3 linked regions of the Ovis aries genome follow. The protein of the gene in region 3 interacts with the protein of the main gene of each other region in a biochemical or structural test. Links are inferred from orthologs where the notes say so. Each region holds a gene or a part of one and is shown on either strand. Other genes may lie near its edges.

What was found.
Region 1: the proteins of EPN1 (region 3) and EPS15 form a complex in vitro, tested with the Homo sapiens proteins (4 studies listed by BioGRID and IntAct, with this or other methods). The link is inferred for Ovis aries from reciprocal best matches to the Homo sapiens genes EPN1 and EPS15.
Region 2: the proteins of EPN1 (region 3) and REPS2 form a complex in vitro, tested with the Homo sapiens proteins (3 studies listed by BioGRID and IntAct, with this or other methods). The link is inferred for Ovis aries from reciprocal best matches to the Homo sapiens genes EPN1 and REPS2.

The regions. Positions count from the first base shown.
Region 1 is NC_056054.1:25,880,228-25,883,754, forward strand, and holds part of EPS15 (epidermal growth factor receptor substrate 15), read right to left. Parts: intron 3,482-3,527; coding exon 3,392-3,481; intron 2,423-3,391; coding exon 2,277-2,422; intron 672-2,276; coding exon 515-671; intron 1-514. UniProt on the Homo sapiens protein: Involved in cell growth regulation. May be involved in the regulation of mitogenic signals and control of cell proliferation. Involved in the internalization of ligand-inducible receptors of the receptor tyrosine kinase (RTK) type, in particular EGFR.
Region 2 is NC_056080.1:15,177,218-15,181,527, reverse strand, and holds the start of REPS2 (ralBP1-associated Eps domain-containing protein 2), read right to left. Parts: upstream 2,815-4,310; 5' UTR 2,663-2,814; coding exon 2,429-2,662; intron 1-2,428. UniProt on the Homo sapiens protein: Involved in ligand-dependent receptor mediated endocytosis of the EGF and insulin receptors as part of the Ral signaling pathway. By controlling growth factor receptors endocytosis may regulate cell survival.
Region 3 is NC_056067.1:62,656,347-62,660,458, reverse strand, and holds the start of EPN1 (epsin-1), read left to right. Parts: upstream 1-1,300; 5' UTR 1,301-1,544; intron 1,545-1,606; exon of another isoform or gene 1,607-3,759; intron 3,760-3,986; 5' UTR 3,987-4,067; coding exon 4,068-4,112. Other genes in the region: U2AF2 (splicing factor U2AF 65 kDa subunit), read left to right, coding at 6-140. UniProt on the Homo sapiens protein: Binds to membranes enriched in phosphatidylinositol 4,5-bisphosphate (PtdIns(4,5)P2). Modifies membrane curvature and facilitates the formation of clathrin-coated invaginations. Regulates receptor-mediated endocytosis.

The sequences.
Region 1 (3,527 bases), on a different chromosome or scaffold from region 3:
GTTCAGGAATAGAGGTCATCCATATGGCAAAAGCCACATAGGTTTTTTCCTCAAAAAGTTTTTCTTTTCTTTTTATGTAAAATCAACAACACATAATCATAATCTCTCAGGTTTTATTTTCAAATTCGTAGTTTTCTCCAAGTGTGAATTATCATAATAATTTAATATTAATAATACACATAATAATTTAATTCTTATAGATTTCATTTAAAATCAACACTCTATTAATAAAAATAAATTCACAAATCTAAGAGGGGAAAAACAAGATCAAATTTTTCCAATTTTCAGAAAACATGGTTGCCATACGTGTGATGAATGATGGGAAAAATGAGCTATAGCCCAAGGATATCATACAAGGCATTGAACATATTTATAGGTACAAATTAAACTACAAACAGTATACTGCTCTGTTTCTAGCCAGATACATTTTCTCCACTATTCCATACAAACTGAGTTTGTCATCTGACACAGCATTTGTTTCTGTTAACTGCATTAAGGTTTTAAGCTGTCTCACCTTTTGTAAAGTGGCCCTATCTGATGGCGGGATCATCTCAGGAGTAAGATTGTGAGGAGGATCAATGCCCTTTATTAACTTCTGATTGATTAAGTGAAAAGCCAAGGCAAATTGATCTTTTGAAAGCTTCCCACAGTTCTTTGTGTCACATAATGCCCTGCGCAAAGAAACAAAATGAACAGTATATAAATGCCACAACTAACATTCTAAAAATCCAGGGGAAAATGACTATGTAGCTTTAAAATAATCATCATTTGAATTAAAAAAGAGTCACACCAACTCATGGCTAGCCCAAAACTCACTAACATGTTAGAAGAGAGATATTAGCTATTAATAAAATGGTAAGAAAGAGAGACCATTCACCTTGGTGCTGAGCAGGGGGATCTATAATTTGGGTTTGCTCTATGCTTTCTTATTGATTTCCAGAATCACTACAGAGTAAAAGTTGTGGTGGGCCAATAGTCTCTGCTCCCAACATTTTACACATTAAAAGATGTTAAATAAAACCTAAAGTTTCGACAAATTTGGTTCGTTCATGGCATTACAATGATTATAAAACAAGCAAAACACCCTGTGTCAGCTTGTTTCTTGCAACTTTTGAAGTAGGAAGATATAAGGTCCCCAAATCAAAGAAAAACAACAGCTGCAAATGGAGATCACGTGTGGAAAGAAGGCAGCAATCTGGAAACCTTTACAAAATTACTTGAAGAGAAACAGCAATGTTTTATTCTATTTGCTTTTTCCTTTTTCTAAACCTCAGCTTTCTAAAGTTCTGATCTGAATGATTCACCGAAAACCAACGTGGCCTAACAAAAAGACTACAGACTATGGTGTCAAAGAAACCTTGAATTCCACTTTTTTACTTATTTCTTCTTATGAAGTTGGCCATAATTTTTAACCTCTCCAAGCCTAAGTTTCTTCATCTACAAAGTGGAGATAACATCCATCTTGCAAAGTTACTGTGAGAATTAAAACAAAGTACATAAGAAGTTTGGGCATAATGGGAAGCCCATGACAGCTGCCATTTATTCAGCATAGTGCCCAGCCTAGGATCTACTGTCCTTTGTTCTTTCCTATGTTCCTTTTTGCAACTATGTGGTACCATTTTTGATGTCTGCCCCTTGAAACCTCATGATAACTAACCTCAGTATAATGAGACACATTGGCAGCAGGCTCACTATAAAGCATTTTCATTATATATTATCTCATTTAATGTGAAATTCACTAAAGATGCTAAAGTTTGTCACTTTTAAGGACCAAGTGTGTAGTTCCCATGTAAAGATGTAAGTATACATATATTCTACAGAATTATACAATAATGCTTTCAAGATTCTGCTTTTTAATACTGTTTAAATTTCAGAATTTTGGATTCTCCTTTAAAAACTGAAGTTTAATAGCTGATATAAACCAATGCTGGATTTTAACATTCTAATAACTGACACTGTCAACCTCATAAAATTATAGGTAACCTATCTTCAAGCTTTTGTCCACTACTCAGAAGAAATCATCAAGAGGGAGGGGATATGTATAATTATGGCTGATTTGCGCAGTCCTATGGCAGAAACCAATACAATACTATAAAGCAATTCTCCAATTAAAAAATAAATTTATTAATAATAAAATCATCAGACAAAAGTTTCACTACAAAGTTCTAAAACAAAAACTGTCCTACTTACTAATGCCTAAAATATTAATAAGAATGTACAAAAGTAGAGCTGATACAGAACCATTATTTGTTTTTTAAATCAGCTTAAAGTCTTACCAAATATGGGCTAGTAAGGCAGAAGGTAAGCCTGTCTTCAGGAAGATTTCACGGACTTCCAATCCTGACACAAATCCATCCATATCTTTATCAGTTTTCAAGAAGATTTCATCATATTTAGCTTTTTCTGCAGGGGATACAATCCACTACAGGAAAAAAATACATATATATATATGTATTTTTGCCAAAATGAAACAAACTTTCAAGTGTCCCCTTTCAAGTCATGACAGTATCTGTCACAAATTCTCAGCAACTCTATCCCACTAACTATACCAACAGTGTGTCACTTCCATCACACCCCAACTGAAATGCTGTGATGAAGAGAAAATTACAGGAAAAAAATATAGGTTAGATATAGGGCCTATATTTACAGATGCCCATTTTATTTTGTTTTAATAATGAGTAAATTCAAGCACAGTTAACTCTTGACTTATGAATGACCATATTAATATATGTAACTGGGAGAGTTTGTAAAAAGACTCAGATAATTCCAAATCTCCATTTTTTTACAGTTTCATTCTGCATTCTTAACTGTAGCTGAACAGTTAAGAATCAGGTGGCTGGTTTGCATATTCTGTCATTATTTTCCTTCACTCAACCTAACAAGCAGCTGGCTACAGGAAAAAAAGTCCTTGGACAACACAAAATTGGATAATTTGACCCCCAAAGAATCAAGAGTTAACTTGACATTAAACTAACAAAACATCTAATAACTATGCCAGAGCAAGCATGCCAGATTAACACAGTGTATCTTTTATCTCCAACTTGAATTCCAGGTAGATCAAGGCAAAGCCAACAAAACATCCATATGACCTAAGTAAGGCCAAATATAGGAGAGGATTATCTGTCTTCTCTAGGACATCACATTAGACAAGTTCAACCAGAGGGAGCCCTGAAGTTTGATCCCTTTGATTGTTCCTTCTATCTTCATCAAGCGATCAGTTGTTAAATGCCATGCACTTTGTTTTTTTTTTTTAAGTCCTTTAACAATGATAAATCTATACCTGTCTTAACGGTGCTTTGGTAGGTAAAATGCCTACTGGTAGGAAGGAGTGGTAAGATTCCTTGGCTGATGCTGAAGAGGGGATCAACCGCATAGGGCCTGATATACTGACCGTTTTCCTCTTAGAAGGTGGCACCAAGGCTGGAGGCAAGGACATTGGCACAGGTTCTTTCTCCAGTGCGCAGTATACCAAAAACATGGCCTTCAAAACAGACGAACCAGAGTCATATATATTAAAACCACTTAAC
Region 2 (4,310 bases), on a different chromosome or scaffold from region 3:
TCAAGGAGGAGACAAAATAAGGCATTTTTATAGAACATGTACTTCAGGTAAGATTTTCAATCTTCCTGGAACATTATGGTAATCTTAGTTGTATGCCTATTAAAAAGAAAAAAACAATCCATTACCATAGAAACTAACAGGGCTAGTTAGTGCCTCCACAAATGGGGCAGTTATACCTGTTGGACCACTTAATTAAACTTACAAGTTCCTGTTTAACAGGGAAAGGCTAAAAACATCTATATCTGTTCTAAAGACTGATACACTTATGGAGTAGTGAAAGTCAAGATAAATTGAGTGCTCATGCACGTACACACACCCAGACACACCACACCACACACAACCAACGTGGTTAGTAAAAATTAGATGGCTGCTGGCTTTGTTTGAATCTCTTCTGATTACATTACTCTGTCCAGGATGCCTTCGATGTTCATTTTCACCTGTGCAAAGAATACTGGATTACTGCATTGTGTTAGGTTGGGCTTCCCAGTGGCTCAGGGTAAAGAACCTGCCTGCCAATACAGGAGACACTGGAGACAGAGAAGCCTGGTGGGCTACAGTCCATGGGGTCACAAAGAGTCAGACACGACTGAGCACACAGGTTAATGGGGAAGGAAGTCTTTTGTTTTGCTGCGCTGCATAAGGGAGCTCTAAAGCTCGTTGAGATTTATCACAAGCAATATTCTAGGGATGTCCCCTCTTGCCAGCATCTTTTGCAAGAAGAAGGTTTCAACTAGACATCAAAAATACAATCTCATTCATACAAAGGCACCGTGCCTTGAGTTCTTTTTAAACCTTAAACACCCTGGGTTCTAACACCAGGAAAGGCCCCTCCCCAACTCCTTAGAAGAAGTCAATCAACATAATTCAGATTTAATATGCCTACCCATCTCTTATCACACTCCATGCATTACTGACAACAAAATAAGCCTTTTAACAGAGGCCCAGCTGTCACTTACTTGCTGTGCGGCCTGTCACTTATTCCTCTTTCAGTTGAGAAGCAGCAATAGCATTTAATAAATTATGCTTGGGAGTATTCTGAGGACCTCATGTAATAGCCATGGTTCATGTTTTAAAATATTGACTTTTCTTCTACCTGGTCAAGTTCAACTGCTCAAGAGCAGAAGTCAAACTGTCTCCAGAGCAAAGACTTCTTAAGAGACAAACAGCCGTGTTAAGGTCTGTGGATACTAATTATATTTTCAGAAATCTTGAATTCTGAAAAGTGAGAGATTACAGAGTGGCTAAAATTATGCTCAAACAGACAGACATACGCATGCTCCAGCAGTATAAAATGCTCTTAAATGATTTTTTTAATCTACAAACAATGATATTGCAAGTGAACCATAAAACCCTCAGTACCCCTTTGGAACTGGATTTTAAAATATCACTCCCCACTCTAAATATACAATTGATGTTAACTTTCAAACTGCCTCCAGCTTTTTCTTTCTTTCTATTTTTTTATTGAAGGATAACTGCTTTACAGAATTTTGTTGTTTTCTGTCAAACCTGACTCCAGCTTTTAAGAAAAACTTCATTTCAGATTTGGGGCCTGGTATTAAGAATCTTATCACAACGAAGTAACAGCAAAACACAGACAAAGATGCTTATTGCTCCACGGAAAGCACAAAAGGAAAACTGATCTACTGTGCATCCTCCTCCTCCTCCTTTTCCAGGTATGGAGCAGCCAAAAGGAGGCAGCTATGACACACATTACTTGGCAATTCTATTTCAAGTCCAAATAATGGTAAGATGGGAAACTACAACTGTCCCTCACGGTGAATGTCTGGGAACCACGTCCAGTCCTAAATAGGAAGCTTAGCTCTGCCTTGACAGATGTCCTCTTGCAGCCCTGTGTCCCGGTTCTGCAATTTGTCATTAAGCTGTTCAGTTTAATGCTAATATGCAGAAATACGTTAGTACGCAGATGTACAGTAAATTCGTGTACATTACAAGTAGTATATAAAGCGGACAACATTCAGTCGTCGGCCGCCGGCCACACACACACACACCCTTCAAGTTCAAATCCTGCAAGGCATCCAAGCGCCCACTCACCCAGGAGAGGGAAGTGCAGGAGCGGCAAGCAGAGGTTACTCCAGACAGCAGCCAAAACAAACACTAGTTACAGAAGAAGGCAAACTTTGGGTCTGGGAGGCTGCAGAGACCCCAGAAACGGCCGGGGAGAGGAGGGAGTGTCCGTCTGTCTCAGCGGAGGAAGATGGGAGCGCACCCAGCACCGCTGAGCTGTGGAGGAGGCTGGTGTCCCCTGGGGAACAAGGGCGTCGCCGCCATTCTAGGCTGCGAAGCCACTCTCCGCGACCTGGCCGAGGCCTCCGGGTGCCTGTCGGCGGCCCTGTCGCCCCACCCCGCCCCCTTGTCCCTGCAGAAACGGTCCCCACAGACTCACAAGGGCAAGGGTGCGGGGACCTACCTGGTGCAGCGTCTCGGCTGGCAGCTGCGACGCTCGGAACAGGTCGGCGACCGGGCCAGCGGCTGCAGTGGTCGCGCCAGGGGCAGCCCTGGCGGCCTCAGGGGGGCCGGGACCCGGGCCCCCGCCTGAGGCGCCGGCGCAGCGCGCGAAGAGCTCAGAGTAGCACTGCTGCTCGCCCTCGCTCAGCAGCAGCGGCGGTCCAGAGCCGCAGAGCCCGCCCGCCGCCGCCTCCATGGAGCCTGAAAGGGGGGCAGGCGGAGCACCGTCCCCGGCTAAGGCGCCGCCGCCTTCACCACAGCCTCCGCTGCTCCGGCCTCGGCCTCGGCCGCCGCCGCCACCGCCCCCACGCCCCGCAGCTGCCGCGCGACCGCTTCCTCCCGGCGCGCGCCAGCCCCGCCCCCGGACTTGAATGTTGTGCCTCCGCCGCACGGCACATGGAGACAGGCGCGGCACGAACCTATCACGGCCTTGGATCGCACCATGGCCCCGCCCCCGCCCCGCCCCGCCCCACCGCGCTGGGCCAGGTAACTAACTCGGAGCGCAGCCTGCTCGGCGAATGGTCACCTGCGCCGCCCGCGCTGCAGAATCCAAAGGGCCAGAGCCACAGTCATTCCGCGTCCACTCTGCGCGAGAGAGGCGTCTTTGGCTCTTCCCACCTGGAGAATGGCGCTTTTCAGGGGGTGGGAAAGGCTGTGGCGATTTCTCCCTAGAACGCTGGAGCAAGTGTAGTGCTTACGTCACGCTGTGCCCTTCCCAGAAATGGACTAGGCACGGGATATGGACGAGGCATGGGTAATTAGGCTTCGCTTTTTCCATGACAGTCCTGAAAATCTGGAGGGCAGGAACAGGGTCCCAGTGACTCCTGTAAAGTTCAAGGTGTTCAAGGTGGCCACAGGGTTAAGCCACTTTCTCAGGCAAGACTCAAAACCTGGGGTTGAGCCTTAAAAAGGAATAAAATCGGTTAGTGTTCAATGCTTGAGTAATAGGAGTGAAAAAGGCCCTGAGAAGAATTTGCCCATGTATATGCATTAAGCCTGGCTGGGAAACACTAACCCAAGGGGAAAAAAATCAGTCCATGGTTTAGAGATATACCTTCCACCCGAAACAGTGCTTTAAAAGAAATATTAAAAACAAAACGGAGACTTCCCCAGTAGTCCAGTGGTTAAGATTCCAAGCTCCCAATGCAGTGGGTGAAAGGCCTGGGTTCCATCCCTGGTCTGGGAACTGGATCTCACATGCCACAACTAAGACCCAGCATAGCCAAATTAAAAAAAAAAAAAAGTCAGGCAATAGCACTAATGATAACAAATATGCTTTGGTATTTTGTTCAACTAAGATAAGGACCAAGCAAAGGAAGAGAGGAAAAGAAAAAAACATAAAGTCACAGGAATGGGCAAAGATAAAAAGAGAAACATAAGAAGAAAAAAATTATGTTAATTCATAAATGATGCCCAGAGTAATATTTCCTTTTTGGAATCTGGAAAAATGAAATAGAAAATGAGGATCCCCAAAATTACTCAGATTTCCTTATACCATTGTTTGCTTCAGACTTGCCAGGAGTGAGTTAAGACATAAGTAGGTTTGGAGAAGAGTACCAAAACGATAGGTAACTTAGGAGGAACAAAGACTGACTTAATTCAGGAATTTTCACTTCAAAAATCTCACCACCATTGTATTTTCCACAACTATAAAACCTTCTCAAGAAAACTGGAAGCCAAGAGATCATGTTTATTCTCTTCTCATTTTTCCCTTTATGGTCAGGCTTCCCTGAGAATGGCCCACCATTCTAACAAAGGTGAGAAAGGGACGTATTCTCCATGATAAATATCAAACCCCAATTTTCCCTGTGACTCCTGTAAAAAGAAATGTGAGATATAATAAT
Region 3 (4,112 bases):
TACAGATCTTCGTGGAGTTTACCTCTGTGTTTGACTGCCAGAAAGCCATGCAGGGCCTGACGGGTCGCAAGTTCGCCAACAGAGTGGTCGTCACAAAATACTGTGACCCCGACTCTTACCACCGCCGGGACTTCTGGTAGAGGCGGCGGGGGAGGGCAGGGGTGGAGCTGGCTGGGGGCTTCTCCCCCTCCTGCTCCCCCGTTTTCCCCCTCTGAAGACGATGGGCAGAGGAGTGACAGCCGAATGACAGCCGGCAGCAACTGGAATGGCAGCAATTAAGGGTGGGGGTGGGCTGGGGTTGGGGCGGGGCGGGGACTGGGGAAGTGCGCACACAGACCCACACAGACACACGCACCCACAGACACAGAGGGAAGGGCGGGGAGGGCGTGACCGCAGGGAGGGGTTGGATCCCGACAGCCCCTCCCTGAAGCAGTCTTCTCCCGGATACCCCCTTTCTCTTACCCTTCCCCACCGTAGAAACAGTGTGTTTATATTTTATGGCCAAACTCTTTTGAATTTTGTTGTCCGGCCCGGTACCCTGCCCCTTCCCTCTCAGGACCACAGCTCCCGTCCTCCTGGCCTCTGGTCCTCGCCCCTGTGTCCTCCTGGTTTCTTACGTAGTCGATTCTCTCTAGTCTCCCAGACTTGCCCCCCACCCCGTGGCCCCTGTCCCTCTCCTCCTCTCTGTGGCAGTTTCATATTTGCTAAGACGAATTTGCTCATTAAACATTTTGTTGTATTTTACTTTATGGAGCTGTTACGTGTCCCGTGTGTGTGAACCCTTTGCTCTCCAGGTCTCGGGTTCTTTGGGCCCCAGGCTGAGGCCTGGCTCTGGGAGGTCTACAGGCTGTCAACCCCGGCTTGGGTGCCCCTGCCCTTGGCGCAGCCGAGGTGACGTTCGCCTGCGTGGCCTGCCGCGCTGGGACGGGCCGGGGCGTGGCCCCGGGGAGCAGGGGGCAGTGAACTGGCCCAGCAGACAGCGGGGAGGGCGGTGGTCGGGCAGCCGGCTGGCCTGGTGGCCCCAAGAGCTCAGGTCGCCCAAGGCACCGCCGGCGGTGGCGCGTGGCCCGGGGGTCCGGAGCTTGCGCGCGGAGGTGGTCTGGAAACGATGCGTTCCCGACCAGACTCTTGCTGCGTACCCACCCTCTGTCGGCTCGCGGCGGCGGGCGGAAATAAGGCAAAAGGCCACGGGTCCCGCGCGCCGGAAATGACGACACGTGAGAGGGCGGGGGCTAGGAAGTGGCGATTGCGCAGACGACGGCCGGGTGGGTCGCGGGGTCACTTCCGCTTCCGGTCCGTCGCCTTCTTCGGTTGCTTCCCGTCCGCTCGGCGGCTCCCCTCCCCCGCCCGGCTCTCCGCGCCCCTCCCGGGCGGCGGGGCGGCGGGGCCGTCGACGTGCGGCCCTCCGTGCGTCCGCGCGTGTGCCCGAGCGCGGCTCCGCGTCCGCCGCCCGAGGCCCGGCACGCTCCCCGTGACACCGAGGCCGAGCGGGGGCAGGGGGCTGCCTGCCATGAGCCCCCGGAGCGCGGCGTGAGCGGCCCGAGGTGAGCGCGGGCGGGGGGCGGGGAGCGAGGGGCGGGCAGGCGCGCTCTGGCAGCTCCGCGGCCTTCGTGTGTCTGCGCCCGCCCGGCCTGGACCGCCCGCGGCTCTCCGGCTCTCCCGCGTCTGCCTCCCGCGGGCCCCCCGGGCCTCGCCGGTGCTCGTGTCCGTGTGTGTCTCGGCGTTTCCACAGAGCGCTCGTCCCCGTGTGTCTTTCCCGGTCTTGCGCTTTTCTGTCACGTGTGGGCGTCGGAGGGTCAGAACTAATGCCAGTGTCTCCGGTCTGTGCCTCTCTCCCCGCCGTCCTCCCGTGTCATGGTTGTCCTGGTGCTCGTCTCCTCCAACCCCGAGTCCCTCTCGGCGGGTCTGTCGTCCTCCCAGGTTCATGAGTGAGGGGTGAAGAGCCCGACTCTGCAGTCAGAGGCCCACTTTGTGCCAGCCTGTAATATTTATAAGCTGACCAGACAGTTCCCTAGTCTTTAAAATAGTAGGGCAGCCGTGCCTGATAACGGAGGTGATGCTGCCCCTCGCCTCTAGCCTAACCTTAGCTGCTGGGAGCTCTGGTTCCCATTAGTACTTGTAGATTTTCTCTCCCACACGGTTAAGGTTTGATATCGTTTGATATCTGAGTAACTGTTGGAGAATTTTGTCATATCATTTGTTTTGTATTTGGTCTAGTAATTTTGTTTGGGTCAGCCAATTGTGAAAAACCTTTTCCTTCTTAGCCGTACCCATGAAGTCTTAGCTTTGCTGTGGTGTTTTTCTTCTAACGTCCTTTAATAGAAACACACTGTGTTAAGATAGCACATCTTCTTTCGAAAATGTTTCTGTTTCTGCTGATGAAAATCAGCCGGTGTTATTGAGCTCTTATTATCTGGGGGTCGGGGAGTTGAGTACTTTATGTTCCCATTGTATTTAATCAACAAACCTGGCAGCTGGAAATCCTTTGCTTTATTTCACAGTTGAGCAAACTGAATCCCAGGGAGGCCGGAATTTGGACACAGGTTTCGTTGTTCTTTCCCGTTTCCTTGTCTGATTTCTCAGCCTCAGCTTAGCCTCTGTTTGTCTCTGGGCCTCTGTCTTCTCTCTTTGCCTCCCTGCCTCGCTCTGGTCTCGTTTCTTTATCTGTAGCTGTGTCTCTGCCCAGGTTTCTCTGTGCCTCTCTCCTCTTTCTCTCCCTTCCTCTCAAAGGCCCCTGCTCTGTGTCGCACACAAGCGTCGTGTGTTCGTGTGTCTGGCTGGGCCTGTCTCTAGCCCTGGCCATCTCTCCAGCCATTCACAGCCGTCCCTGAGTGCCTGGCTCCCCTGCGTTCGGGGCAGGGACTCAGGTGGTAGGAGGCCTCCACAGGAGAGGCTGTGGGCGATGGTCAGAGCCTACTCTGGGACCCGGCTGCCCCCGGGGAGGCCCGGGCCTGGCTTCCTCCCTGTGAGGCGTCAGCGAGTGTGCAGCGGAGCAGAGGCGCAGGCGTGGCCCTGGGTGAGGCTGCAGAGGGCTTCGCAGATCCCCGTCCCCCTCTTCTGTTTCTTCTCCGTCGCCCTCCCCTCAGCACAGGTTAAGTTAAAGGACCTGTTTTGGAGCCTGTGCCGCCTGCCCAGTGTGACCTTGGCTGGGCGCTTTAGCTCTGTGGCCCGTCTCCTCCTGTTAGAACCTGGTGTCGGTATTAGATGAGATCACGTGTGTCCCGTGCTCCCTGAGTGTCAGGCACGCCGCCAGGGCCCAGCCAGGGGGCTGCACTCTTCCTTATCTCCCCCCGGCGGACCCCCTCCCGGCCATCTCCCTTTCTCAGCCTCCTCCCTGTGTGCCCTTGTTTCTGCCCCCACCTGCTCTGGAGGTCTCTCCTGCCCACTGCCCCCTTCCCCCAACCCCCGCTTCCTGTCCTTCCTGCTCCATTTACTGAGTGGCTCTTCCGGGCTAGCTCTTCTGCCGGGAAAAGCCTCGGCCGTCCAGAGTTACGTGGTTGCTGCCCCCACGGGCTCTGGGGGCGGCCTCAGCCCAAGTCAGACCCGCTTAGGAAATCACGAGGACAAGCCCTGGTGTGGGGGTGGGTTGGGCTGGAGGTTCCTGTGGAGCCCAGCGGAGGACAGGAGGAGGAGCGGGGTGGCTGTCTCAGGACCCACCCGCGGGGACAGTGCACGCATCCCAACCCCTGGCTTCCCTTCCTGTGTCTAGACTCTGGATCGAGGACCCATCTTACAGAGCAGAAAACTGAGGTTCTGGAGGTGCGGGTTAGGAAGTGTTGGCTGGGGTGTGCCCCAAGGGCCCGTGGCCCCCTGCAGGCTCTGCCACCGGAGCAGGAAGGTGCTGGGCATGATTGAGGAACTGAGAGCCAGTGGGGTGACGCAGGCGGTGCCTCGCCGGCTGTGGCAGGAACCCCGTCCTGCACCTCGAGGGCCAGGCGGCTGCAGGCCCCGCGCCTGGTTCTGAAGGCCCTCCCTCCACCCTCCAGATGCGGTGAGCCGCCCGTCGCTGCCGCGCCGCCTGCCCGCCCCGCCCGGCTCCGCTCGCCGCGGGGCCCCCGCCCGCCGCCATGTCGACCTCGTCACTGCGGCGCCAGGTGAAGAACATCGTGCAC